Linked DNA regions of Oryctolagus cuniculus. The protein of the gene in region 6 purifies or fractionates together with the protein of the main gene of each other region. This does not show direct contact. Links are inferred from orthologs where the notes say so. Each region holds a gene or a part of one and is shown on either strand. Other genes may lie near its edges.

What was found.
Region 1: the proteins of HNRNPR (region 6) and SNRNP70 purify together in Homo sapiens (affinity purification with mass spectrometry; 3 studies listed by BioGRID and IntAct, with this or other methods). This does not show direct contact. The link is inferred for Oryctolagus cuniculus from reciprocal best matches to the Homo sapiens genes HNRNPR and SNRNP70.
Region 2: the proteins of HNRNPR (region 6) and ILF2 purify together in Homo sapiens (affinity purification with mass spectrometry; 3 studies listed by BioGRID and IntAct, counting the BioPlex papers as one, with this or other methods). This does not show direct contact. The link is inferred for Oryctolagus cuniculus from reciprocal best matches to the Homo sapiens genes HNRNPR and ILF2.
Region 3: the proteins of HNRNPR (region 6) and HNRNPU purify together in Homo sapiens (affinity purification with mass spectrometry; 3 studies listed by BioGRID and IntAct, with this or other methods). This does not show direct contact. The link is inferred for Oryctolagus cuniculus from reciprocal best matches to the Homo sapiens genes HNRNPR and HNRNPU.
Region 4: the proteins of HNRNPR (region 6) and HNRNPA1 purify together in Homo sapiens (affinity purification with mass spectrometry; 7 studies listed by BioGRID and IntAct, counting the BioPlex papers as one, with this or other methods). This does not show direct contact. The link is inferred for Oryctolagus cuniculus from reciprocal best matches to the Homo sapiens genes HNRNPR and HNRNPA1.
Region 5: the proteins of HNRNPR (region 6) and DDX5 fractionate together in Homo sapiens (co-fractionation; 3 studies listed by BioGRID and IntAct, with this or other methods). This does not show direct contact. The link is inferred for Oryctolagus cuniculus from reciprocal best matches to the Homo sapiens genes HNRNPR and DDX5.
Region 7: the proteins of HNRNPR (region 6) and LARP7 purify together in Homo sapiens (affinity purification with mass spectrometry; 4 studies listed by BioGRID and IntAct, with this or other methods). This does not show direct contact. The link is inferred for Oryctolagus cuniculus from reciprocal best matches to the Homo sapiens genes HNRNPR and LARP7.

What each region holds. Positions count from the first base shown.
Region 1 is NC_091449.1:8,223,335-8,227,790, forward strand, and holds the start of SNRNP70 (U1 small nuclear ribonucleoprotein 70 kDa), read right to left. Parts: upstream 2,932-4,456; 5' UTR 2,665-2,931; intron 2,153-2,664; 5' UTR 2,143-2,152; coding exon 1,996-2,142; intron 1-1,995. UniProt on the Homo sapiens protein: Component of the spliceosomal U1 snRNP, which is essential for recognition of the pre-mRNA 5' splice-site and the subsequent assembly of the spliceosome. SNRNP70 binds to the loop I region of U1-snRNA.
Region 2 is NC_091438.1:44,650,803-44,655,187, forward strand, and holds the start of ILF2 (interleukin enhancer-binding factor 2), read left to right. Parts: upstream 1-1,419; 5' UTR 1,420-1,486; coding exon 1,487-1,491; exon of another isoform or gene 1,492-1,537; coding exon of another isoform or gene 1,538-1,548; intron 1,549-1,869; coding exon 1,870-1,920; intron 1,921-2,046; coding exon 2,047-2,106; intron 2,107-2,344; coding exon 2,345-2,387; intron 2,388-3,046; coding exon 3,047-3,151; intron 3,152-3,485; coding exon 3,486-3,563; intron 3,564-3,882; coding exon 3,883-3,985; intron 3,986-4,385. UniProt on the Homo sapiens protein: Chromatin-interacting protein that forms a stable heterodimer with interleukin enhancer-binding factor 3/ILF3 and plays a role in several biological processes including transcription, innate immunity or cell growth.
Region 3 is NC_091444.1:64,895,573-64,899,777, forward strand, and holds the start of HNRNPU (heterogeneous nuclear ribonucleoprotein U), read right to left. Parts: upstream 2,964-4,205; 5' UTR 2,700-2,963; coding exon 2,009-2,699; intron 1,159-2,008; coding exon 1,047-1,158; intron 960-1,046; coding exon 886-959; intron 1-885. UniProt on the Homo sapiens protein: DNA- and RNA-binding protein involved in several cellular processes such as nuclear chromatin organization, telomere-length regulation, transcription, mRNA alternative splicing and stability, Xist-mediated transcriptional silencing and mitotic cell progression.
Region 4 is NC_091442.1:57,220,049-57,224,225, reverse strand, and holds the end of HNRNPA1 (heterogeneous nuclear ribonucleoprotein A1), read right to left. Parts: intron 3,803-4,177; coding exon 3,647-3,802; intron 3,437-3,646; coding exon 3,381-3,436; 3' UTR 3,371-3,380; intron 3,124-3,370; exon of another isoform or gene 2,428-3,123; intron 1,011-2,427; 3' UTR 598-1,010; downstream 1-597. UniProt on the Homo sapiens protein: Involved in the packaging of pre-mRNA into hnRNP particles, transport of poly(A) mRNA from the nucleus to the cytoplasm and modulation of splice site selection.
Region 5 is NC_091448.1:14,230,128-14,232,655, forward strand, and holds part of DDX5 (probable ATP-dependent RNA helicase DDX5), read left to right. Parts: intron 1-136; coding exon 137-278; intron 279-355; coding exon 356-516; intron 517-592; coding exon 593-765; intron 766-1,125; coding exon 1,126-1,236; intron 1,237-1,435; coding exon 1,436-1,497; intron 1,498-1,577; coding exon 1,578-1,637; intron 1,638-2,528. UniProt on the Homo sapiens protein: Involved in the alternative regulation of pre-mRNA splicing; its RNA helicase activity is necessary for increasing tau exon 10 inclusion and occurs in a RBM4-dependent manner. Binds to the tau pre-mRNA in the stem-loop region downstream of exon 10.
Region 6 is NC_091438.1:147,595,834-147,599,611, reverse strand, and holds part of HNRNPR (heterogeneous nuclear ribonucleoprotein R), read right to left. Parts: intron 1,345-3,778; coding exon 1,168-1,344; intron 1-1,167. UniProt on the Homo sapiens protein: Component of ribonucleosomes, which are complexes of at least 20 other different heterogeneous nuclear ribonucleoproteins (hnRNP). hnRNP play an important role in processing of precursor mRNA in the nucleus.
Region 7 is NC_091439.1:52,302,210-52,305,987, forward strand, and holds part of LARP7 (la-related protein 7), read right to left. Parts: intron 3,581-3,778; coding exon 3,462-3,580; intron 618-3,461; coding exon 458-617; intron 309-457; coding exon 217-308; intron 1-216. UniProt on the Homo sapiens protein: RNA-binding protein that specifically binds distinct small nuclear RNA (snRNAs) and regulates their processing and function.

The DNA.
Region 1 (4,456 bases), on a different chromosome or scaffold from region 6:
CAAATGGCTGCTCCGGCTGGAGCTACGCCGATCCAAATCCAGGAGCCAGGTGCTTCTCCTGGTCTCCCATGGGGTGCAGGGGCCAACCACTTGGGCCATCCTCCACTGCACTCCCTGGCCACAGCAGAGAGCTGGACTGGAAGAGGGGCAGCCGGGACTAGAACCCGGTGCACATATGGGATGCCGGTGCTGCAGGCAGAGGATTAACCAAGTGAACCACGGCGCCAGCCCCAGGTGTTTCTTTTGAAAACCCCAAGAGCTGACACATGGCACAGTGAAGCTGCCACCTGTGGCGCCAGCATCCTCTATCAGAGTGCCGGCTGGAATCCAGCTGCTCCACTTACAATCCACCTCCCTAATGCGCCTGGGAAAGCAGCAGACGATGGTCTGAGTGCTTGGTCTCTGTCATCCACGTGGGAGACCTGGACAGAGTTCCTGGTTTCTAGTTTTGGCCTGGCCCAGCCATAGCTTCTGCAGCCATCTGTGGAGTGAGCCAGTGGACAGAAGACCTGTCTCTCCCTCTCTCCTTCTCATTCAAAATAATCTCACTACATTTATTGAAATTTTCAATCTTGGGCTGTTGCAGCAGCGTGGAAGATGAAACCTCTCTACAGCGCTGCATCCCACACAGGCACTGGTTTGAGTCCCGGCTGCTTCACTTCTGGTCCAGCTAAGGCCTGGGAAAGCAGCAGACGATGGTCCAAGTGCGTGGACCTCTGCACCTTCACAGGAGACCCAGAAGAAACTCCTGACTTCTGGCTTCAGACCAGCACAGCTCCAGCCACTGCGGCCATGTGGGGAGTGAACCAGTGGACGCAAGACCTTTCTGTCTCTCCCCTCCTCCTCTGTAACTCTGCCTTTCAATTAAATAAATACTAATTCCTTTAAGATAGTCTCACAGGTCCCTGTCTTGCACCGACGACGACGTGTCTGAGGACGTGACAAAGCAGAGTGGGGGCGGGGGCGCTTGCTCAGGAGAGCAGCAGCAGGAGCTGACACCTGGGCACGTCCTGAGGGCCAGGCAGCTCTCTGAGCCCTCGCAGCCACTCCGTAGGCAGCGATCACCAGACAGAGTTGCTGGCCTGTGCCCATTAAATTAATTTAATTGGCTAATAACACTTCCCAAGCACGAGTTCACTGGGAGTGGCCAATCCAGTAAGAGCCACCTTGTGTCACCTCGGCTCTGGAGCCTCCATCGCAGCCTCTCCCTACAGCACTGGAGCGGCCTGTGACACGGACCGCCCTGAGGCGGGGTCATCACCCGACCTTACAAATGAAAACACTGAGATCCCGGAGCCTAAGCTGCACCAACGGTGACCCACAGTGCAGATCTGAGAGCCCCAGGCTACGGTCTTAATTACGCCACCCACACAGTGCCAATTCTTCAGGAACGACACTCCGTTAACAAGAACGGCAAATACAGGGGCCGGTGCTGTGGCACGGTGGGTTAACACCCCAGCCTGCAGCGCCAGCATCCCATAGGGGCTGCCAATTCGACTCTCCGCTGCTCCACTTCTGATCCAGCTCTCTGCCACGGCCTGGGAACGCAGTATAAGACGACCCAGGTCCTTGGGCCCCTGCACCCGTGTGGGAGTCAGGGAAGCTCCCGGCTTCGGATCAGCTCAGTTATGGCTGTTGCGGCCATCTGGGGAGTGAACAAGTGGATGGAAGACCCCTCTCTCTCTAACTCCATCTTTCAAATAAAGAAAAATAAATGTTTTAAAAACATGGCAAATACAGTCACAAATGCTGACACGTATCGACTGCTTGGTACCAAGCGCTCTGCCGTAAATGCTATTTATTCTCCGTCCTGCTGTCAAAGACAGCGAATGCATCGTGGGGATTCTGTACCGCCCAAGACCACACAGCAGAGAAGCACCCGGCGTCCGCGGCCGACCCCTCCCGCCGCGTCCTCCCCAGCGCCTTCCAGGGGCTGCCCTGCCAGGCCCCCCGAGGCCTGGAAGTGTCCACAGCCGCGAAGCCGGCCTGGCTCACCTCGAACTCCCGGATGTAGGGCGCGATGCCGCAGTAGGGCTGGTTGTGGTGCTTCTCGTGCGGCAGCTTTTCCAGGGGCGGCAGGTAGGGGATGGGGTCCCGGGGAGCGAAGAGGGCCAGGAGGTTGGGCGGCAGGAACTGGGTCATCTTGCCAGGTCTGGGGAGAGAGGGTCAAGGCCTTGTGGCGGCTGCCTCGCCCGGGGAGCGCGCCGCCGCCGCCGCCGCCGCCGGGGGAACAAAGGCCGAAGCGCGGGCGAGCGGGCAGTCGGGGCTGCGGCCGAGGGAGGCGCCCGGGGCGGGGGTCGCAGGCGCTGGGTAGCCGGAAGTCGGCGCGCACCCCGCTCCCCGCCCCCACCACGCAGGGGCTTGTGGGTAGCAGGTCTGGGCTCCCGGCGGCGAGAGGCATTGTGGGTAATGGTCCAGGGCGCCCCGAGAAGCGAGGGAGGGGGCGGGGAAAGGGCAACAAACGCGCAAGGGCCTGTGGGAAGGGGACGGCGGCGGGCGGGGGCGTGTTTTGGGGAGAGCGCCGAGTGTCCGGGAAATTCTAGGCGAGGGCCGCGGAACGGTGCTGCAGGGGGGACGCGGCCGTCAGGGAGGGGACCCCGGCCCACCGCAGGGGCTTGTGGGTAGCGGCCCCGCACCCCCTCAAGACCACTGGGTCCCACTCACCCGCCGCGCGGTGCCCTCCTCGGCCTGGCGTCGGTCCGGGGGCTCGCGGCGGCTGCGGCGGCCCTTCAGCAACAAGCACTCCTGCTCCGGCTTCGACTCCGGCGCCGTCGGACTCGGTCGCCCGCCCCCCGCGCGCGCAGCAGGCCTCTGCTCGCGAGCCCGCGCGGCTTCGGCTCGCAACGGGAGCAGGAGGTGGAGCCCGGCCTCAAATCCCTCCGCCGTCGCCCTGCGCACGCGCAGCGCCAGCCGCGCGCAACCGACCTACAGACACCGGGGCCGCCGCGGGCACGGCGCACGCGCGAGGCCCTTGCCCCGCCTCCCGGCGCCTTCAACTGCGTGCCGCGGCTGGCTGCGGCCGTACTACGCACGCGCGCTCGTCCCCAAGCGCCGCTTTCCACCTCGCGCCTGGACTCCAACCGCCTTTGCCCGCGAGGCTCATCCCGAAGCCCCGCCCCCTTACCTAGCACACTTCCCGGATCTTTGGCGCATGCGCATTGACTAGAGAACGGGTAATACCCTTCCGCCACCTGGCAAAGAGTCCCTACGGGAATAGTGTTGGTTGCGTTGATCGTCCGGCTAGTGGGCGTCCAGCAATCGCTGTTTAGGCGCTGGAGGTGTGAAAACCTGATTTTTGGTTCCTTACTTTGTACTGAGGGAGAGTGTAAAGGTATTTAGATGAAAAATACAACTTCAGGTAGTGGCCATCTCAAGGACAAGAGCAGGGTGGGGGGCGGGAGGGGACAGCGAGGGGGACAGAGGCGCCCAGGGCGATCGGGGCGCGGCTAACGGCAGGTGCCCAGGGCCTGAGCTGGGACGGGCATTTCCTGGGTGTCCTGCATGGGCACTTGGTCCCAGGACCGAATTCTGCCCGTGAGTGTGAAATGGCCCGCTGCTCACTTAACGATGCCTAACACAATGTGAAGCCTGCGCCAAAATTATCCTTTATCATTTAGGGCATGAAGAAAAGTCTGCGTGTTCAGTACAGACGCGCTGTTTGCTTTCTGGAATGTTTCGGGTGCACAGCCCGTGGTGGTGGAGAGTGGACCGCACTGTGCTTGATGCCTTTAGGGGGAGCTCCGTTGCCTCGTTCATGATACCCAGATTACTAACTTCACTTTTTTGGCACAATTTTTACTTATTGGGAAGGAGAGGGACGCAGAGCGGTCTTGCTGGTTCACCCCCGAGACGCCCACGACAGCCAGGGCTGGCTCACAAGTCCTGGGGCGCATTGAGTGAGGTGCGGTCGCCGGGACCTGCGTGGGCGTCGTTTCTGAAATCCTTGCAGGGGTCAGGGGCTGGCGCTGGGACACCGGGCAGCCCCACCGGCGAGGCTGGCGTCCCAGCTGCTGCGTTTCCCGCCAGCTCCCTGGCCAGGGGCCCGAGCAGAGGAAGACGGCCTGTGTGGGAGGCCTGGGTGGGGTCCTGGCTCCTGGCTTCAGCCTGGCCCAATCGCAGACATTTGGGAAGCGAACCAGCAGACGGAAGATCTCTGTCTCTGTCTCTGTCTCTCTCTTTTTTTTTTTTTTTTTTGACAGGCAGAGTGGACAGTGAGAGAGACAGAGAGAAAGGTCTTCCTTTGCCGTTGGTTCACCCTCCAATGGCCGCCGCGGCTGGCGCACCATGCTGATCCGATGGCAGGAGCCAGGTGCTTCTCCTGGTCTCCCATGGGGTGCAGGGCCCAAAGACTTGGGCCATCCTCCACTGCACTCCCGGGCCACAGCAGAGAGCTGGCCTGGAAGAGGGGCAACCGGGACAAAATCTGGTGCCCCAAGCGGGACTAGAACCCGGTGTG
Region 2 (4,385 bases), about 100 Mb from region 6:
CCCCAGGCCGGGCCCCGTGAGACCCCCAGCCACATAGCCCAGGTTCCTGTCTTCCCATGTGTGAGGATACAACTGGGAGAAGGAGACAGAGGTGAGCAGAGAAGCAGGATTTATCCAAGGATGAAAGGATAGCACACACCCAGGCTTGGGTCCTCCTTTTAGGGCGTGGGAATGGTGCTCAGGGCCTGATGGAAGATCCAAAGGAGGGATCCTACCAATCCTGGGATGATCCCGCCTCACAGCTTCACTTGCCAGATGCACAGTATTTGCATTTAAATCGATGCCATCACTTGGGCTTTTTGTAACCTTTCCACGCCTCAGCGTTGGTTAATGTTGTTAATGTCCCCTCTCGCTCACTGCAAGTTCCTTCACTCTGCTTTGCCCTGGCCGGGAAAGCAGCCGCTCTGGTTCCTCTGATCAGGGTGCATCGTATGTATTCTCTTTTCGTCTGGCTTCTTTCGCTTGACACGGTCCGGGTTCCTCCATGTTTTTGCACTCGTCAGCGATCTGCTCTTGTTAGATTTTCGTAGCACTCCGTTGTGTACACATAGACCAATTTGTCATCCACTCTCCATGAATTCAGTACGGCCAACTCGCCGAGACACGTGTAAATACCTCTAGGTTGTTTCCAGTTCGGGCCTCACTTTTCTGGGGACCACCACAAGGGGCTGCAGGCCCCCCCCCCCCCCCCCCCCCAGTGAGTGAGAGGGGACGCCGAGGAGGAACAAACGTTAAGGAAATGCAAATACCGTGTGTCCGTGTGGCCGGTGAGGGTGAGGCGGGATCATGCCAGGATTTGCAGGAGCAAAAAACAGGAACAGGAGAAGACGGGACCCGCCACTTTCTTGACTCTCCTTCTCTGATTTGTCATTCCAAGACTTTGTCAATTTTCCTTCTAACACCTCAAAGCTTGTTTCTCCACCACAGTCCATACACTCCTTCCCTTCTAGGGAAGGTACCTTTTACACGATGGCGGTAGAGGCAGAAGATGCGTTTCAAAAGCAGCAAAGATTGGCGAGATGGTTTTAAAGGAGGGAGTACTGTAGCAGCATGTGGAACTGAGAAGCGAAAAACAAAGCCCTTAGCAGAGGATGGTTTCGATCCATCGACCTCTGGGTTATGGGCCCAGCACGCTTCCGCTGCGCCACTCTGCTACTGGACACCAACCTTCCCGCTATTATAAAAGGCAATTCACTTGTTCGTCGTTTTTAAAGTCTATCCAGCGCCACCTAGTGTTGGCTCAAAAAATTTGTAATTACTGTCACGCCTGTTCTTATTGGCCGGTTCCTGGCACGATAGCCGTTTTTTATTGGTCCATAAGCCCGGTTCTCCAAAGCAAACCAATAAGCATAAGCGACAGAGCAAGGCGGGAGCCAATCGCAGCGCGTTTTGTTGGGACACGCCGGCCAGACGCCTTTCCAGTTGTCTGCTTCTCTGAGGAAAGGGGCGGTTGGTGCGGCCTCCATTGTTCGGTGTTAAGGGCGCCATGAGGTAGGGGGACCGAGGTGCTGGAAAGATTGTGGGTATCCGACCGAGAATGTTGGGAAGGTGGGTCGAGAGGAGTCGGAGGACCGGGCAGGGCCGCGCCTCTGCGGCCGGCCGGAACCCCGCGAACTCCGGGGCCGGCAGCGCGGGGAGCCCGGCGGGTGGAGGTGGGAGCGCGGGCCCGGCGTGGGCTGGGGCCGGGGCGGGGAGGCGGCGGGCGCCCGCCTCCGCGAGGGCGTCGTGCTCAGGCCGCCGGGGGAGCTTCCCCGCGTGCGGCGCTGGTCCTGACGGCCCGCGTGTGACGCCCGGCATGTGCCCGGCCGGGGCGCTGAGCGCCGGCTTTGGGGGCTGGCGTGCCCCCGGGTTATAGGGTCTTTCTCGCAGGGGCGCTGCGCGACGCTGTTACCTGGCGGATAAGTCGTCCGGCAGCAGGAGGTCACGAGCAGTGGGGGGCCGGGCGCCATTCGGGACGCGGGGTGGGAGGGGGCGGCGGCGGGCGGCCGGCGGGAAGCGAGGCCGGGCCGCGGCGGCTCCCAGGCAGTAACGTCTGTGCATTTCCAGGGGTGACAGAGGCCGTGGTCGCGGTGGGCGCTTCGGCTCCAGAGGCGGCCCGGGCGGAGGGTGAGTGCCAGTTTTCCTTGCTAGTTTGGGGCACCTAAGAGGAGGTTGGCGGGGTCTGAGGGTGTTTTTGTGCGAGCCGGCTGCGGGGTCACACCCTGCTTCTGCTGCGGGCCTTGCTCAGAAGCCCACTCGGCCCTCCGCAAGCTGTGCGTCTGTGTTTTCCAAATTGCTGGTGCATCGTGTACATCTTGCTTGATTGCTGTGTGCTGAATAATTTGAGCTGTTTGTCTTGTTGCAGGTTCAGGCCCTTTGTGCCGCATATCCCATTTGATTTCTATTTGGTAAGTGCTTTGGGTTGGTGAACGGGTCCTGACCCCTGGTCACCAGCAGATGGAGAAGTGGTGGAGGCCAACAGCCCCCTGACATGGTGGTCGCAGTAGGAGAAGGGATTTGGGAACGGCCTTGGGGTTGTGTGTTAGCATACTTGGCAATAACCTGATTATAATCTTTGAACAACTCATTGCATCTCTGGCTTATTTGTTAATATAAAGGTAGTAAGAACATAAATTATGGCTGTTCTTCTGGGTCCTTGTTGGAAGGTTTTTTCAAAAGATTTATTTATTTGAAAAGCACAGTGTCAGAGAAATAAATATCTTGCATCCACTGTTTCATTCATCAAATGGCCACGATAGCCAGGGCTGGGTCAGGCTGGAGCCAAGAGCCAGGAATTGCATCCTGGTCTCTCACATGGGTGACAAGGGCCCAGGAACTTGGGACATCATCCACTGCGTTCCCAAGATCATTAGCAGGCAGCTGGATTGGAAGTGGAGCAGCCGGGACTCTGTTATCAGAAGCCAGTGGCAGCTTAACCCACTGCACCGCAAGTGTTGCAGAATTTTCTGTGTTCAAGTTTTTCTGTTGCACTAATAGAGGAATAAAACCAGTCTCTCCTGTATGTTGTTGGTGGTCAATGGTTTATACTTGTTTGTTGGTGATTTAGTGTGAAATGGCTTTCCCCCGGGTCAAGCCGGCCCCTGATGAGACTTCCTTCAGTGAAGCTTTGCTGAAGAGGAATCAGGACCTTGCTCCCAATTCTGCCGAACAGGTGTGTGCTCGTGGCTCCCTTTCTGAGCTTTCTCCACAGAAGGGAAGTGGAGAGTAAGAATAGGTTCCCTGAGCCTGAGGCCCACCAAAGCTTGCATTCTTGTCTCACTGTGGTTGGAGATGGGGAGCGAGGTGAGCGTCTTAAACACATGGCATAGACATTTGTATTTTCACTGGGGAATCTGTCTGTGGCAAGTTCAAGACCAGAAGCACTGAGTTGTTTTTAGAACCTTCTGTTGATGGCTGGCAGCTTCCACAGAAGGGATCAGGAGAAAATATCCAAACTCAGAGCAATTGCTTACAACTTTTCATTTTGGGATTTTACTGTTTTTCAGGCTTCTATCCTTTCTCTGGTGACAAAAATAAACAATGTGATTGACAATTTGATTGTGGCTCCGGGGACATTTGAAGTGGTGAGTTTCTGATGACAGCCCCAGGAAAGGGCGGCCTTGGTGATGTGCAGATTTCCTTGGCTCCTGTCTCTTAGTTTTTCAGTTGCCTGAACCTGGACAGTACAGTGGGATTCCTTTCTTTGTTAATACTGATCCTGGGGATACGGTTTGTGTTGATACCAGCCGGCCATGACGGGCCAGGCTTTCATGTGGTTTCTTGGGGTAGGATTTTACCTTTGCTACTTCCAAGTCTGAGTAATAGGAAGCTGTTACCTATCACAGAGTTCTGAGAGCATCGAGGCATCTGAAATTTTTTTTCCTGAAATCTCTTTCCCAACAGCAAATTGAAGAAGTCCGGCAGGTAGGATCTTACAAAAAGGGAACAATGACTACAGGACACAATGTGGCTGACCTGGTGGTGATACTCAAGATCCTGCCGACGTGTGAGTGTCTGTCTTGTGACAGTGGGAACGGAATGTGGCAGGTTCTATGGCTTGAGGCCTAGGCTCTTTAAAGCTCAGCTTTCTTGTGAGAAAAGATTCTTTTTACAACATGACAAAGGAGAAACTGGAGTGAGTGAAAGAATGTATGGCCGGTTCTATAAGGCAGTATTTCTCAACTGGAGGCAGCCTGGGGAGGGGAGGCAAAAGAATGAGCCCATCCAGAATGTTATCTTTGCCCCCGATCTGAAAACCCAGTCCATAAAATAGAAGGATCCTGTTCCCTAAGCCTTCAGTTTCTGGTCAGGCCTTAGCTGCCCCTCGTTAAAGTATTTATTATCTGAATGTAGGGCAGAAATGAGAGTGTAAAACATCTTGCAGATACGGAGAAAGCATACATGAT
Region 3 (4,205 bases), on a different chromosome or scaffold from region 6:
AACTCTTAACTACCTGTACAGGGTATTCAAGTAAGAAATCAGAGGTATCACCATTTATCACCTGAATCAACAATCTGTACAAGGAAGCATCCGAATCTAACTTCCGCCTTACCAGAGCAACTTGACATTTTAACTTTTCAAGTACGATTTCTACTCTTGGTTCTATTTCACACTGGAAAGACTGGTGCATCCTATTCTGATCAAACGCTAACCCAACGTAATTTAAGTAAAATCTGACAGCCACGGCCCATTTAAAGGTTTGCAATAATTCCGCATACTCGATTGCAACCCAACTGGGTAACGTAGTATTTACAGTGCTGCCATTGATACCATTCGCTGCTGAAGAAAGCTAGTGGCCCAGTGATGGCCCACTGCTGCTGCCCCAGGTCTTTGGAAGAAATCAACTTATGTTAAAGCAGCAGCTACTGAACTGGAATTGAGAACAAAAGAGCAGTTATTGAAATAGTATTACAGTCTTTTAGAATAGGGAATATACTTGAGTGCTAATGGGAAAAGTCATCAGTTAAGTATTTAACCAGCCCAAGTAGCTGACTTAACAATCCCAAAATAAAAGGAAATTACTGTAGGACACGTTAACAGTTTCCATTAGCTAACTAGTCCAAAATTGGCATCAATTTCACATTCAAGAATAAGAAGCTTTAAATTACAATTAAAATTGCCAAAGCCTGTAAAATCAATTCAACACAACTGATGGCATATTAATATTAAACTACTGCACTCTGGGTATCAATCATTATCTTTGCTTTTTAGAAAACTGTACATGTTTTCTGCACTTAGGTTAAACGTACTGCAATCTAACATTGTCAAAAAAACCCAAGGCATTTGAGGACTGCGTGGGGGAGCGGGTGAAACAGCTTCACTTACAAGTATCAAGACAAACCACTGTGTCATCGAAGTGCTCATCTTCTTCTTCAACGGGGGGCTGAGGAGATTTGGCTCTGAAAGACAGAATGGGCTCCTGATACGTCTCTGCCCACCCACGGAGAACGGGCAACAACAACGCACAATCCGTTAGCATCCTCTACCTGCTGTACTTGTTCTCTTCAATGTACTCAAAATATCCACGGCCATGATCTTCTCGAGGTCTTTTTACACCTCGCTTTTTATCTCCGCCTTTCTGCTCTGTTTTGCCGTCTCCTATAACACACGACACTCTCATAAGTGCTCAAGCCACCCAACACCCCCGCCAAAAGAAAAAAAAGCCGCTTTTATTTCAAGTTGCCTAAAAGCATCGAATTAATGAGTTTTGGGTGAATACTGAACCGCCAGGTCGAATGTGAATTCAAACTATCAGCTTGGAATTGGATTGGAGTTAGTGACGCAGCCTAAAGACGTTACTAATTCGGCCCGTCTACCGGAGGCTTCAAGAAAGCTTAAGCGCAACTGCGCGCCGGAGGCCCCGAGCCCACGTGGATCCCGACGAGCGGTCAGGAGGGGGAGGGGCGCGGGGGCGGCGGCCCCTCCCCCACCCGGGCCCGCGCAGCCCGCGGCCGCATTGTACGGATCTTCCGCCCCGCTCGGCGCGCCGGCTCCTCCCGCCGGAAGTGACGTCACGCCGAGCCCCTGCGCTCCTTGCACAATACCGCGGCGAGGAGCCGCCAAAGCGCGCCCGCCCCGGGACCTCGGGCCTCTCCCCTCCCCCCGCCCTGAGCCATGTGCCCGCACCGCGCGCACACACAGCGCGGCGGCGCCACCGCGGGCCGACGGGGCTCCTCCCCCCCTCCCGCGGCAGCTGCAGCTCCCCCGCCCCCACCCCCGCCCCGGCTCCCGAGCCACATAATGGAGGCGCTGCCACCGCCGTCACACACGCACACGCACACACACACCCCGAGCCCCAGGCCTCTCGGCTAATCTGGGATTCCCCGCACCCCTCCCTCCCCCCACCGCCGCCCACCCAGCCACCAGCGGGGGGCTCCGGCAGGCCGGGGGCCCGGTCCCCACCCCACGCGGGCCTCCCGCCGCGCGCAACGTACAACGCAGCACTCACCCGCCGCCGGAGCCCCGGGGCGACCGCCTCCTCCGCCGCCTTCCGCCTTCTTCTTACCTCCCGCCTGCTGCTGGCCCTGCCTCGCCCCGGGCGGCGCCACCGTCACCGCGAACAGCGAGGTGGGGCCGCTGCTCTTCCCCGCGGCCTCCTTGGCCGCCCCGCGCTGCTGCGGAGGCTGTTGCTGCGGCGCCGCCGGCGGTTGAGGCTGCTGCTCCCCGTGCCCGTTCTCGTCGCCCGCGCCCTCCTCCTCGTCGCCGAGCTCGTCCTCCCCTTCCTGGAAGCCCTGATCATCGCCGTTCTCGTCTTCCGAGGCGGCCTCCTCCTCCTCCATCGGGCCCGACTCGGCCGCCCCCGCGGCCCCGTTCTCCTCTCCTAGCTCCATCTGGTCGCCATCCAGGGCGGCGATCCCTTCCTCCTCCTCTTCCTCCTCCTCCTCGTCGTCGTCGCCGCCGGCCGCGGCCTCCTGCTCGAGGCCTGCTCCCGAGCGCCCGGCGGAATCCCCGCCCAGGTCTAGGCTGCCGTTCCCGGGCTCCATGGCGGGGCGGCCCCCGGCCTCCTCGTCGTCCAGCGCAGCCTGGAGTCGCTCCATGAGCTCGGCCTTGAGGCCCTTGTCGGAGAGGCGCCGCTTCTTGAGCTCCTCTTTCAGCTCAGACACCTTCAGCTTTTTTACATTAACAGGCGAGGAACTCATGATGAGGGCCCCGATTCGCGGCAGGGAGCTTGGCTCGGACTGGGCTCCGCTCACTCGGCCACTGGTAGCGGCTGCTGCGGCTGCTCCTCGGTCCGGGCGGCGGCTGCGGCTGGAGGTGGGTTCGTGCTGCAGAGAGGACCCGCCTGGTGTCGAACGGCGCCAATTCCTTTCACCGAGTTCGCGAGGGAGACGCGGAGACTCGCCTGGCGCGAGCGAGCACGCAACGTCCTCTCGCAGGGGCGGCGCCGCGCACGTAATATAGCCGCCCCGCCCCCCGCGCTGACGGGCGCGCCGCGCAGCAGGAAGGCGGGAGCGCGCTCGCGCTCGGCCCCGCCCAGCACCGTCCCTGCCTCCCCGCCCCCACGCCGAGGCCCGGGTCGGGAGCGCGGCACAGGCCGCGCAGTGCGCTTCCTATTGGGTGCCGAGCAAATGGAGGAGAAGGAAACCGCCTTTCGGTTTAACCGGCCCGCTGCAAAGTCCACTGGGTTTCTGCCGAGGGAGCTCGTTCTGCTCTTGGCCTCCCAGCCTGGGCGGCTGCTCGGCTTGAAATGCTAGCAGAGCTCAGCTTGGCGTTTTCAGCTCGAACCCCTCCACCTTTTCTTCCATCTTAGTATTGCCGTCCTGGGTGCCCCTCCTGCTATACCGTTTTAAAACGCCTCGGGATTTTATTTCCGCTCTGGCTTGTCTAACCCAGCCTGGCAGTCAGCACACGGAGAGTTGGTTCGTCCCTTCTTCCCCCCCTCTCCCCCCCCACCTCCGGCCTCGTATCTCCTTTCATTTTTCTAAGCCGGCCTGGCGAATGGCCTTTTAAATTCGGGAAGCCTTTCTTTTGTGTCTTCGGCAGCCCCCGGTGCGGGGCCTGGGAAAGCGGCTTCTCCCCTCCTCCGGTCTGCATCCGCAAAGCGCGCTCTTCGCGGCAGCCACACGCATGGCGTCAGTGGCCTTGCAGAGGCCTCTGTGGGGCCTGATGTTTGTCATTCAGGCCCGGGCGTGCGGTGAGGAGGGCGAAGCGCAGCTAGGACCTGCCACCCGTGGATTTTCTCCCTGTCCCCGCGGGGACCCAATGGTGCCCAAACCAAAGGCTCCTGAGATGGAACAGGGCGACAGTCTGGCAGACGGGCCATGAGAGACCTCGCTCTCAAAAAGAAATCCGTGATTGGATCGTGGTTGAAGTTTGAGAGTGGCAATCCGGGGTAGCATCCTAATCCCCCAGCGTCCCCACAGTGCCAGGCCAGCGATCCCCGTGGGAATGAGGAAAGAGACCTGCTGCACAAAAAGACTGCTGTGCTATTGATTTGAAATGTGGAAGTACAGAAATGCAAATCTTGTCCCGTAGGCTGAGGTGATGTAACTGATCCACAAATGTTCGTTTTTAAAAGCTGCTTTTCAACAGTTTTTAAGAAATGTGTCTTACCCTGTATTCAGGCATAAGGTGAAATACTGACATCCGTGAGATTATTTGAGTTGAGATTAATAGTGTGCAGTACTGGTAATCCTCAAATTAAC
Region 4 (4,177 bases), on a different chromosome or scaffold from region 6:
CAGCTCACTGGCGGCTGGCTTCCCAAGCCAGGAGTGGAGACATGGCTGTTGGAGCAGCCTGACACTGGCTTGCTGTCCGAGTGCCCACTGGCTCTAAACCATGATCCTGAATGCGGCAGTGTCAATGCAGCACACCGTCTCAGTCAGGAACCAACCCCCATTTAAAAGCTGCCATGTTGGGCAGCTTGTTCTGCCCCCAGAAGGGAAAGGCAGTCAGTTGATCTGAGACATGGAGTCAAGGCAACTGCCTGTGGCTGGTGCCACCACACAGCAAGTTAAAGCCCCAGTCTGTGGTGCTGGCATCCCACATCGTTGTGGTCCAAGTCCCAGTGGCTCCACTTCTAATCCAGTTCTCTGCTATGGTCTGGGAAAGCAGTGGAAGATGGCCAAGTCCTTGGGCCCCTGCACCTGCATGGGGGATCCAAGAGGCTCCAGGCTTTGGATTTTTACAGCTCTGGCTGTTGTAATCTGGAGAGCAAACCAGAATATGGAAGATCTTTCTCTGCCTCAATGTCTTACCAAGACCAGTTTATCACTGATATCCTACATTTTTGAATCCCTAATTTAAAATGGGAAAATAACATGAAGCAGACCAAGTATTTATAAAATGATTTATTATTCATAAAGCTCATTCACAAAATGGAATGAATAATTAGAGCTGCAAAACAGCTAGTATCAACTGCATAGCAGTGAGAAATGGAGTGGCTCAAAGGTTGTCCTCACAAGGATGTTCCTGCAAAGGAAAGAGAGGGGTGAAGTCGTTAACGCATTAGGACAGGGCTCTGTCATCAGCTAACTGCCACCACTGGGAATCTGGCTGCTTTGGTTATGGACAATTGGACCTTGTGCTTGGGTGTTGGTAATTCTCCCTTTGACTTTGGAAATATGGAGAACTCTTGGCTGGCCATTATTTTATAGAAACTTACCTTTCTAGCCATGGACAGGAGTTTCTGGGTTTAATTATAATTATTTTTTTAATAAGAGCTGATAAGCGTGTAGCAGATTCTTCCCTAGAAAAGTAAACAGCCTTTAGAACTGGCTCTTTTCGAAGACAGAGTCCCATCAAGCTAAACCACCCCCACCCACTAATGGTCCACCCACCCAGCCCTCCCCCCATTTTGGGAAGATTCCAATATATTAATTTGAGCCATTATTTCAAGGAAATGGGTAAAAGGACAGCAAATAAAATTAAAGGGCAAAAATAGATTATCACAGAATTAATTACTTTCTTCAATTAGGAGCCACCAATAGGGTGTCAATTTCTCCAGAAAAACCAAGTTCAGCTTAACTGGACTAGTTTTGGCTCAATATATTAAGGAAAATTTAACAGAATACTGGATTTTAGGTTAACTTTATGGATGTAAGTAAAATCTGTTCTTACCTACCAGCATAGCAATAAAACCTTTCCTCCTGGTTCTGACTGCTAGTCCTAAGAGTCAGGTGTGCCTTACTCTCGTCTGCCTCCTTTCTGGCGATGGTCACTCAAACTTCACTTCCTCCTAGCTTTCATGGAGGGTGCCGTGGCCTGCCCCTGGCTTATCTGTGCTCCACATACCACAAGTGTCTACTCTCAGCTGTAGAGTCTGAGCTCGGAGCCATTCGCGCTATGCTTGCTAGCAGTTCCTAGTAGCTGAACATCTCTCCTGGATCTTTAAAGGCATTGTCACGAATCCTGATGTATCTGCAAACTCCCTCAACAGTTAAAGGTTCCACCTGCTATTGCAAACTCAGCCAGTATCATGAACTACCGTCCACGCTCACCCACCCCCCACCACCTTCCACCCACCTCCCTCCCACCCTCCTCCCCAATGTTCCAACACACCCCTGGGATGGCATATACAGTCCTACTAGTAAACAATGATCTATACTACTAGATACAATGGCACTGAAATTAAAGAGGGTAGGCTTCAAAGAACCTATTTACAAATAACAATTATTGGGTATCCATGAACTATGAAAGGTTTAGAAATCATTATCTATATATACAATTAACACTTTCAGATGATTGTGTGGTCTTGTGTCATGTTTAAAGGAAAACTGCAGTTAATATGAAATTATACAGAAACATTTGTTCCTCCCACTTCATGGTTTTAATCCCCCCAACCAGTGTAATCAACATACATTTCCACAGACCGACCCACCCACACACCGACCCATGACCCAGCAGAACTGCAGTTTTCCTTTAATAAAAACCTGTTTATATTGAATTCAAGTCTTACTGGTACCGGTATTTTTTAAGAAATGTCTCTTAAAACACTTCTAAATCTTTGTGGACTTAATGGAGTGGAAGCATTAGCCAGCAGCTGGCTTCTATTCTCTGGCAGAGTTTTGAACTTGCATTGTGGTAGGATTCAACATTATCAGGGGTGGAGGGTAGGGAAAAGTCCAAATCTCTGCCAGTCCCAAATCCATACAGTTGTCATTCCATTCAAGAGAATTAAATCGTTTATTGATTACACATGATAATGGATGATACACAGCTTCATTCCCATCTGTAATTTTATCTGGTACCATTATTCAATTTAGATATATTGCAAAGGATGTGCCAACAATCATTCTTATAACCAAATAACCCCATGACTTTGCTTGGGTGGCTTTTAATGGTGAACTTCAGAAGGTCACAACAGTAACTCATGTATCTGAGAACAGCTTCTCCACCCGAGCATTTTGTAAATAAATCTCAAATGGAACCTGGCATCACCCTGATGAATTCTGACTTTACACTTTTTGGGGAAGTTTACCAAGATGGCTTCAGAGTAGACTAACTTTACACAGCACATTTAAAAAAAAGACACATTTATTCAGCGTCATGATCAGACTATTACATTTAGCAATCAACAGCATGGGTGCAAAAGAAAAAAAAAGAAAAAACTACATTAAAACCCTTTGTTGGAATGCTTTACACTTTCCACAGAACAGAAACTAAAATAACCTGTTATACAATTAGTCACAAATACAGTCCTCGAGTTTTTTTGCCCATACACATGAGTATTGTCTAAAACATGTCTTCTTTGTAGCAGCTAGGCCCTGCCACCACTGTGCTTGGCTGAGTTCACAAATCTGTTGTAACCTGTAGCTTCCCTGTCACTTCTCTGGCTCTCCTCTCCTGCTAAGCTTTGTTTCCTGTTGAACAATATGGAATAAAGTTGTTAATCTAAACATATTAAGACTCAAGGCTACAATCCAATATTAAGTTGTTTCCCACAAATTTTGCTCATCTGAATTATCAATATTATCTGAACTTAATACCCACAATTTTACTGCAATATTATAATGTTAACTATGCCACACTGCTTAGCTACATTAGGGTTTAGCAGCGATTATAAAAACTTAAAAAAAAAAGCACACACAAAAAAAGGTGTTTACTTACCTGGCAGTTATTAAAACCTTCTGCCACTGCCATAGCTGCTGCTGCTGCTAGAACCACCATAGCCACCTAGAACAAGATTGGGCCTTTTAACCTCTCAAGTGCCCACGGCAAAAGCCCTGCTTTCATGTTCAATGGGATGAGACAAGTTCAAACTTAGGAGTGACTATTTAACAGCCTTAGCGAAACCTGACAAGGGCAGCACCATCAGCTATGCACCCAACAAACCAACTCCTTTCCCTTTTACTTGCTCATCTCCCAGTTACATTCATACCATACCTTGATTTCGTGGTTTGGCAAAATATTGGCCGCCACCACCATAGGGGCCAGAGCTTCTGCCTCCAAAATTTCCTCCCTTCATGGGTCCAAAATTTGAAGATTGATTGTTGTAATTGCCAAAATCATTGTAGCCTCCGCTGCCTCCAAAATTGCTTCCTAGGGAACAGAAAGATGGCCTTTGTGTGTTACTTGAGAAGGTGACTGAGAGTACCCAATTCTGCTCAGTGTTCAGAATTAAAGCTTTTATTATCTGCCTGCTTCCTCCCAAACTCAGGTGGCTGCACATCTGCATTTTCATTCTCTGGACAAGGCATTCAGTTGAATAATCCAGAAGTTTTACAAAGCAACCCAGTTCACCGCATTAGAAGTTGAATTTTTCCTAGTGGCAACTAGAGGTGTACTCTCTAGCCTCACAGGCCTTTGTGCATGCATCCAGGCCACTGCCAACGGTCAACGGTCTTGGATGTATCAACTAAGTGCCTGCGGTCCCAAGGAGTTCCACACACTAAACCCTGCCAAGATGCTAACTCA
Region 5 (2,528 bases), on a different chromosome or scaffold from region 6:
TGTAAAGATTAGTATTCTCACTGAACGTAGCTGGGGCTGCTCTGGGTATCTGATGGCACAGTTGGAGAAAGGATCTGCCAGTGCAGCTAACTTAGCAATCTGGGGTCTGTGCTAAAAGCTGTTCCTCTTGCTTTAGTGCTTGGTGCTGGCACCAACTCGGGAACTGGCTCAGCAAGTGCAGCAAGTAGCTGCTGAATACTGTAGAGCTTGTCGCTTGAAGTCTACTTGCATCTATGGTGGTGCTCCCAAGGGACCACAGATCCGCGACTTGGAGAGAGGTAGGAAAGGAAAAGGTGGTTTGTCAACTAACCAGTGCTAAATGTTATGTGTTAACGTTTATGCATTTAATTTGAAGGTGTGGAAATCTGTATTGCAACACCTGGAAGACTGATTGACTTTTTAGAGTGTGGAAAAACCAATCTGAGAAGAACAACTTACCTGGTCCTTGATGAAGCAGATAGAATGCTTGATATGGGCTTTGAACCCCAAATAAGGAAGATTGTGGATCAGATAAGAGTAAGTACCCTTAATGTCACTTTTCACAAGTCTAAATTTACTTTTGGAGTACAGTGTAATCCTTTCTCTGTCTTAGCCTGATAGGCAAACCCTAATGTGGAGTGCTACATGGCCAAAAGAAGTAAGACAGCTTGCTGAAGATTTTCTGAAAGACTACATTCATATAAACATTGGAGCACTGGAATTGAGTGCAAACCACAACATTCTTCAGATAGTGGATGTATGTCATGATGTAGAAAAGGATGAAAAGTAAGTATTATATACATTTAATGGCTTTGTGTGGTTGAGTAGCTTTCATGGGTTATGTCAAAATTGACTTTCAATTGATGTAATCTGAATAGGTTCATGTAAAATTAAGTCCGCCAATCCATCTTGAGATTTCATGTCCTTCTGTAATTGGTTGTTCCATTTATGGCATTCTTACAGGAAGATGAAAGTCATGTGTCTTGTGGTTTACTTAAGGACCCAGGGTAGGATTGTCAGATGGTCCTACAGGTGTTTCCTCTTTGACTTGGAGCCATGCAAAATTGAACTTAATGTTTCACTGAATGTAAATGTGCAGCCCCAACTGTGGACTTGTTTTAAGACTCAGGCGTTTGTTTTGTCTAGACTTATTCGTCTAATGGAAGAGATCATGAGTGAGAAGGAAAATAAAACCATTGTTTTTGTTGAAACCAAAAGAAGATGTGATGAGCTTACCAGAAAAATGAGGAGAGATGGGTATGTGGGATTCTCCATGTATAGTCCTTTAGGAAAGGGCAAACAAACTTGAGCCAAGAGGATGGTTGTGGGTTTCATAGATAAGGCTAATCTGATAGTTTGGGTAAAGCTGTCAGTGAAATTGAGGCTTGGCAAAAATGGTTAAGCATGAGAATCTGATTTGAAGCATGAGCCTACTAGGATAAATCTTCTATTTTAGGTGGCCTGCCATGGGTATCCATGGTGACAAGAGTCAACAGGAGCGTGACTGGGTTCTAAATGGTAAGTATTTCAAAAGGAGAAAATTTTTTTTCTTAAGATAGGCTTCAGAGTAATGATCGTATATTTGCCTTCCTTTGTAGAATTCAAACATGGAAAAGCTCCTATTCTGATTGCTACAGATGTGGCCTCCAGAGGGCTAGGTTAGTACAAACTCGCATTCATGGCTTGGTTTCCCAGAAGATCTCCATATAGTTTTTCTAAAGAAAGTTTATTGCTTTCTTTAACCTCTGCATTTTTTCTAAGTTTTTTTCACATAAAGGTGCAGTCTTTGTGGCAAGGCCTAGGCATGACAATCGGAGGACTCGAGGGGGATGGAGGACTAGTGATCGGCTGGCTGCTTCCAGTCGATTAGAGAGGTGAAAAACTGAAAGTGTGCCAGTAATCTTCAAAGGGCAGAACATATCACCTCTGCCCCATAAACTGTTCTCTCCGGGGGAAAACAATGGAAGTACCCTCACAGTTCACTGCCGTGGTTTCTTCCGTCCCATGCTTTGCATGACTGCCATGGTACAGCATTGTTTGAAACTGTTCACTGTGATCTGTGGGTCTTTGAGTTTCAGTGAGTTTGCTGAAATGTCGAAGAAATAGTTCCAAACTTCAATGTTCAATGAAATTTTTGTTCAAGTTTGAAATGGAGAGAGCAGCTTTAAAAGGTACTAAGCCTTTTACAAATTGGTGAGTACTGGCACATAAGACCTAGAGCAGGAGCAACTTCTCACACTTAGAATCAGTGGGAAAAGAAAACAGTGCTTTGAAAGTTCCTCCCTCACCTTGTGACACAGTAGTCGTCATGTCGAGACCTGCCAGAGAGAGACACATTCTCAAGTGAATCCTGGCTTCTTGGAAGCGCTTGCCTAGACGAGACACAGTGCATAAAAACAACTTTTGGGGGACAGGTATGTTTTTCTTGCAGCTGCGGTTGTAAGGTCTTGGCAAGACAAGCAGTGTGGCCTGAATTTTGAACTTCCGATGAGTGTGTAATGCAAAGGACCTTGTACATTTTTGTTTAAAGGTCCTCAAAATGAGCACAT
Region 6 (3,778 bases):
GTCTATGAAAGCATAATCTTTGCAAAATTGTATAAAAAGCTATTAGTAGAAAGTGTTTTATTTAAATCACTATAGTGAAGGGTTCCCTTGTCAAAATTTAGCTTCTTATGCTTTTAACATTACTTACCCATTAGAACTTAAAAAGATAGTATTACTTAAAAAATTAAAATTACCTATATTTTGCCAAAAATGAAGAAATAAAGTTTTGGAAATTTCTTAGTTTTAAATGAACAAGTTTGGAGGCAAAAATGCCTAGTAAGAACTAAAATCTTGGTCAAGACAGGAAGAAACTAACTCAAGGCCCACTCTTGAGTCCAAAAGCCTTGGTAAGGGAGATTACCCATTCTAGAAGGGCTAGAACTACATTAAGTGAGCCTTTGGATGGATGTCTGTCAAGAATATGAAAAAAAAATGTTATTTTAAGATTCTCGGATAACAACATCTCGGTATATAGTAGAAATGAAGACATAATTTACAGAACTTTTCCCTACTACTTCTACTACTTTTATTTATATAAGCCCAAAGTTGTAAAAAGTCCTAGAGAGGAAATTACTAGAAGATTGGCTATCAAGCAGTAAAAGGAGAGAAATATTAAAGACAAAGAAGACCCAATAGACTGGCTATAAAACAGTGAAATACAGAGAGAGAGAGAGTAAAGTCAGACAGGACTCAATGGTCTGGGAACAAAAAGAGCAAGAAGACAATTAGGAAATACACCAACTGTATAATTGGGCTGGGCCAAAAAGAAAAGATTATTTTTTTCTGAATTGAGTCCAAAGTCACTATCACCCACTGTTATTCTCCAGAACCCATTCCAACCTTCATATTTTAAGACTCCCATCCTGAAGTTTAACAACAAAAGTTGACAACTTTCTAAAAACCAACAGAGAATTTAAGGAATCAAATATCTGAATAAAATTTTTGATACTAATCAATCTTAATGGATAACTTCTCAAAATCATGACTTTCTAAAATACATTATTTCTTAAATATATTTATTTTAGAGTCATAAAAACTAAAGCAAAGGCCATATACCAACTAAGAATATAAAAACATTCAAAGGAACAATTAAAGAAAATGAGACAACACTAACTGCAAACATTCTTAATTGAGTTTATTCTCTCAAATAATAGCTTGCTAAACAATGGATGTTTATTTATCACATACCAGTTTCACAGCTTCCTGTGCAGCTTCCTTTCCACAGAAGGTGATAAATGCGTACCCTCTGTTCTGCCCAGACAGTGGATCCATCATAAGACGCAGATCCCAAATTGGACCAGCCTTCTCAAAGAGAGGCACCAATTCATCCTCGTATAAATCTCTGGGTATTTTACCAACAAAGACCTGAAATAAAACTTTGTTATTAGAATCCAACATAAGCATTTGCTTTTTGAACTATAAAGCATAACTGCCCCTATTTGCAGGAGGTGGAGGTAGAAGATCGTTAAAGAAGAATGGTAATAATATGAATCTAGCAGTTGACTTACAGAATGAATCCTAATTTTATTATAATGATCTTAGGATTTTTTTAAAGATTTATTTATTTTATTTGAAAGGCAGAGTGACAGAGTCAGAGAGACAGAAGAGAGCTTCCATCCACTAGTTCACTTCCCATATGACCCCAATGGCCCAGGCTGGGCCAAGCCAAACCCAAAAGCCTGGAACTCCATCCTACGTGGGCGGCAGGGGCCCAAATACTTGGCCATCTTCTGCTGCTTTCCCAGGCACATTAGTAGGGACCTGAATCAGAAGCAGAGTAGCCAGGACTCAAACTGATATGGAATGCCAGCACTGCAAGCAGTAGCTTAAATAAAAACTGACATGGCTATTCCCAAGTATTCTCACCTCACATCTCCCTGCTGATAGCCTGGCAGTGCAGGCTGGCCCAAGTGCTTAGGCCCTGCACCCACCTGGGGGACATGGAGGAAGCTCTTGGATCCTGGTATCATATCGGCCTGGCTCTGGCCATTGTGTCCTTTGGGGAGTAGACCAGCTGTCTCTTCCTTGGTAATTCTGCTTCTCAAGTAAATAAATAATTTTTTTTTTTTTTTTTACAGGTAGACAGTGAGAAAGAGAGACAGAAAAGTCTTCCTTCCGTTGGTTCACCCCCCCAAATGGCCACTACAGCCAGTGCTGTGCCGATCCAAAGCCATGAGCCAGGTGCTTCCTCCTGGTCTCCATGTGGGTACAGGGGCCCAAGCACCTGGGCCATCTTCCACTGCCCTCCTGGGCCACAGCAGAGCTGGACTGGAAGATGAGGGGACTAGAACCCGGCGCCCATATGGGATGCTGGCACCACAGGCGGAGGATTAACTAAGTGAGCATGGCGCCACTTTATTTTTTTTTATTTTTTTGAGAGGCAGAGTGGACAGTGAGAAAGAGAGACAAAGAGAAAGGTCTTCCTTTTGCCATTGGTTCACCCTCCAATGGCTGCCGCAGCTGGCGCACCACGCTGATCCGATGGCAGGAACCAGGTACTTATCCTGGTCTCCCATGGGGTGCAGGGCCCAAGGACTTGGGCCATCCTCCACTGCACTCCCTGGCCACAGCAGAGAGCTGGCCTGGAAGAGAGGCAACCGGGACAGAATCCGGCGCCCCGACCGGGACTAGAACCCGGTGTGGCGGCGCCACAAGGCGGAGGATTAGCCTAGTGAGCCGCGGCGCCGGCCCCAATAAATAAATCTTAAAAAATAATAATGACATTGATATTTTTTAGAAATTCCAGATTTCAATCTATTCCTTCTCTATCAAGACAATAAACTTAAAGGGGCAGAAAAAACCTTTTTCTCATATGAATAATTTACAATCAGTATAATTATAAAATTATATAAGGAGTAGAATTAAATTATAAGATACTAGAGAGGGCATTAGGCACAGTGGTTAAGTCCCCAGTGGGTTAGCCGTATCCCGTACTGAAATGCCTGGTTCAAGTCTGGGCTGCTCCACTTCCAATCCAGTTTCCTGCTAATTGTGCACCCTGGGAGGGAGTAGATGGCTCAAGAGCTTGGGTTTCTGCCACCCACCACTCGAGTTCCAGACTTCCTGTTTTTTTTTTTTCGGCCTGGCCTAGCTCTGGCTTTTACCAGCATTTGAGAAAAGAACCAGCGGATGTAAGAGCTTTGTCTCTCAACAAATAAAAAAAATGAAAATAAAAAATAAGTCTTTGAATTAAAAAAAATAAGCTTGCAATAACAGTAAATCAAAATTAAAGTCAAAGGGGACAGTGTTGTGACACAGTAGTTTTTTTCTTTCCTCTGTCCTGGGGCCCTTTTTTTTTTTTTTTTAAGATTTATTATTTGAAAAAATAGAGTTACAAAAAGCAGAGTCAGAGGCAGAGAGAGAAGATCATTCATCCGTTGATTCACTTGCCAAATGGCCGCAACGGCCAGGGCTGGACCGATAGGAAACCAGGAGCCAGACGCTGCTTCGGGTTTCCCACATGGGTGCTGGTGCTCAAGCATTTGGGCCACCTTCTGCTTTCCCAGGTCATACCAGAGAGCTGGATCAGAAGTAGAGCAACCAGGTCTCAAACCAGCGCCCATATGGGACGCTGCACTGCAGGCAGTGGCTTTACCTGCTACTTTTTCCACTACACCACAGCCCCGGGTTCCCATGACACAGTACTTTAAGTCATGCTTGTGACATCAGTACCCCGTATCAGAGTGCTGGTTCGGGTCCTGGCTTCTCTGTGCTTCTGATGCATCTAAGGTGACAGAAGATGGCTCAAGGACTTGGGTCCCTGTCATTCATACGGGAGACCTAGACAAAGTTCTGGCCT
Region 7 (3,778 bases), on a different chromosome or scaffold from region 6:
AGGAAAAAATGGGAAGCTCTAATTAAAAGTATGTATCCCTGTGGGAAAATAAATTTTAATTTCATACATTTTGTAGCCAAGATAAAGACTATTCTTTTTCAACCTAAAACAGGGTACTCTGTAGGTTTCTGTTATGTAGAAGCAAAACTAAAGTTATCTACTCACTACTGACTTTCAGAATCTATTTAACCTCCAAAACCAATATGAATTGATTACCTTCTCAGTGCCTCTCTTCTTCTCTCGAGGTTGATTAAGTTTGGCCTGTCTGTCTACCAAAATCTTCTGCCAATATCTCTGTTCATGATCACCTTAGAAATGAACAAAAACTCTGATGTTTGAATATAGGATACTTAAGGAAAAAACACATTTAAAGCATTATATTCTCAAACTCAGAAAATATGATACAATCATTCACAATTCAGAATTGTTATAAAAATAAATTTCTATGAAGTTTTACCAGAAAGGACTTCCAATTTCCAGCAGTGTTTCTTCTTGATTTCTGTGTGTGCATTCATTACTGCTTGAGCATCCTCAGGAGTTTTAAATCTAGCATGGCATTCTGTATCTCCTTCTAGCAAATCAACATAAACAACTTCCGAGACTGCAGCCAAAGTATCCTGCATTGAAGTTTTGCAGAAAGTATTAAAACTAGTAATAAAAATGCTTCATAATAACTTTCAAATTATTCCAGTGGTTATATCAGATTATATGTCATTATACAGAGTAATGAGGAATAAATGCCTGATATAAATCATACCTAAAATATACACTAATGTTTTGACAGATATGGACAGAGAAGATGACCAATTAACAACAACTCTAATCAAAATTTATTTTCCTTTGTATCTTTACAACATTATTTTGAAACTATGAACTACAATGGGAATATTATTCAACAAGGGCAACACATCTGTAGAGCAGAAAGTACAAACAGTCTCCCCCACTATCACAGGAGAGGGTTCAAGTCCAGGGTTATTAGTAAAAGGAAACAAAAGGAAAAAAAAAAGATTTAGAGAATTTTTGTTTTCACTTACCTGTATAAAATCACTTAATACTGAAATCATGTGTAAAAATGTTTAAAGTTTTTAGAACAACTCATGGAAAAAGGTTTCTTTATTAAACCTAAAAAACACCCTGGGTTCTGCAGTGGATCTACCAGAGTACAGCTCAACAAAGGTTTTTGTTAAAATACCTAAATAACTTCTTTTAAACAAGTAGTGGTTACCCAACAAGGGAAAAGTCTTACATATAATGCCTGCTGTGAGGGCAAATTAACAAGATTCCTGCATTCTTAATCAACTTTTTTTTTCACAGCAGGTTCCACAGAGAACACAAAGCATTTATGCAGGAATGTTATGCTGCTAATTCGTAATTTACCATAAAGCTTCCATTCATAAAACTAAAGAAATAAGGAGATTGTCTACTGTAAAAAAAAGTCTTATCTCACTTTATTTTTGACACAAATTTTCAAGAAACAGCTAATTTAGATTATTCTTAGTTGCTGAATTCTTAGATGACTGTATTATGGAAAGAACTGAGCAATATCTGGAAATACTATTTCATCATAGACTAAGAAAAGTTTATTAGTTAGTAATAAAATTCCGTGAGTCTCTAGAAGCCACAGATGAGCTTAATTCATCCCAATACTTAGTTTACCATCTATCCCAAAACAAGCACTTAGTAAATATTTGCTTAATGATTAAAAAAAAAAAACTGGAAATATACTTGCCAATTCTTCCCATTTTGTTATCAAGTAAATTAGTCCTAAATTTAGAAACAGAGCAAGAAAAGTGGCATTTAATTGGTGAAACCTGAACGTGTTCTCTGGTTGTAGTGAGTTTTATAACTATTTTTTTTCTGACAGATTAGAAGATATTTACTAAATATCCATTATAATGTCAGGCTAATCTCCTGATTTAAAACCCTTAGAATTTAAAACCCTTAGAATGATAAATTAGCCTGGAAATCACACTGGCAAGTCACAGACAGCAGTAATCACCATCGTAGCTCAGGTTTTGTTCCACGAAAAGTAAGTAACTACTAACTTGATTAACACAGTTATTTTATGATTCTGAGGATCATAAATGAAGAATGTGTAATTATTAATTACCATTCAGATAATGTCAATTGATTCCAAATAACAAGCTTTGAGTAATGTTTGTGTTAAATCATTTGCAATTTAATCACAGCAGAATTCATGTTACCACCCTACTCTGAAAGCAAGCTGCCCAATGACAATTTGGGATTGGCTAAATAACTTATCAATATTGGAAAGAGGGTAAAAAATTTATGTCTTAGTGATGGCTGCAGGATATTAGGGTAGGGTTTCAGATAAAGAGTGCCTAGACAAGATCACAGTGAACAACAACCAACCTCAGTGGTTACTAAAAAATGTGACTGGTGTGGTCCATGTAAAACAAAAACAACACATTACATGGTGCTGAGTATCAGTATAAAAGGATTAAGAAATATTTGTTAATGTTATAAAACATTTCATAAATTTAAAAAATAAGTGCCTCACCTAAATAGGTGACAGGGTTACTTGTGAGTAAAATATGGTAATCTCACACAAAGGAATATGATTTCATTGATAAGAAAGAAGTATTGCTATGTTGGTATAAAATGCTATAGAAGAAAAACTGCACAAAGTGAAAAAATATGATAGACCTGTATGTATGACAATTTGAGTATTAATAACATAGAACTATGGATTTAGTTGCACATAAATGTAAAATAGCTTTTCAAAAATACCTATAACTCTTTGAAAAACTTCAAACAATCACCACGGATTGAAAATACTGAAAAAAAAAATTACAAGCCCATTTTCTAGAAAAGTTTCTGTATTCTTTCAGGACAAAGGCTTCATTAACAGACAAAACCAGGTCCATCGTATATTAAAAATATACATATTAATCATTTGGAAATCTATTAAAAAGTATGAATATCAAGAAAAGCAAATTTAAAAGTTCTCTTAATATGCTCCCAAATGAGACAGCATGAAATGATTACATTAAAAATGATTTCAGACCAGCTCTAATGTTGATTAAATCTTTAAAAATGTTTTGGTGCCAAATATTTTTCTAAAATCCATATTTAACAAATAAAGTATTCTAAAAAGTAAGTATTGGGAAAGCATTTCCTGTATCTAGAATGACCATAGGCTATTTTCTTATTCAATCTCACAGCAGACAACAGGAGTACCAGTAAAAATATGCACAAGTTGCAAATTTCCTGTACAGAAGGATGTTTGGCTGTTCAGTATAAATTCGATTCAGAGAGCAATTTGAGTTTAGATTTTGCTTCAGGTTAAACTCAAGAGTTACCACAGAGTCAAAATTCTAAAGGTAGTTCACCATAAAAATACAAACTGTAATTTCATTTATTTCTTATATTCAACCCATTTTCACATGGGGAAGCAAGAGGAGAAGAGGACAAATACTCCAGGGGTTCAAAAGCATTACCCGGACTTGTTTCCTGCCAGGCAGGGGCTCTGTGCTAAGGATCTTCACAATCACTCCACTCACAAACTGTGGTCCTGTGGCATTAACCTTCTCCTGGGGGCCATGCTCTTCACAGCTGGCTGTTGATTTCAAAAGAAAAGAGCAGGAATAAATCTCTTACACTTTACAACTGAACACTTAGGAGGAACACTTTAGAACCACAGGATAACTTAGGCTGATTTAAATGATTTACAATTTATTTAATATAAATACTGAATTTAAATAATGAAGGTTATATTGTATATCACACTACTCATTTCAGACTACCATGATATAAA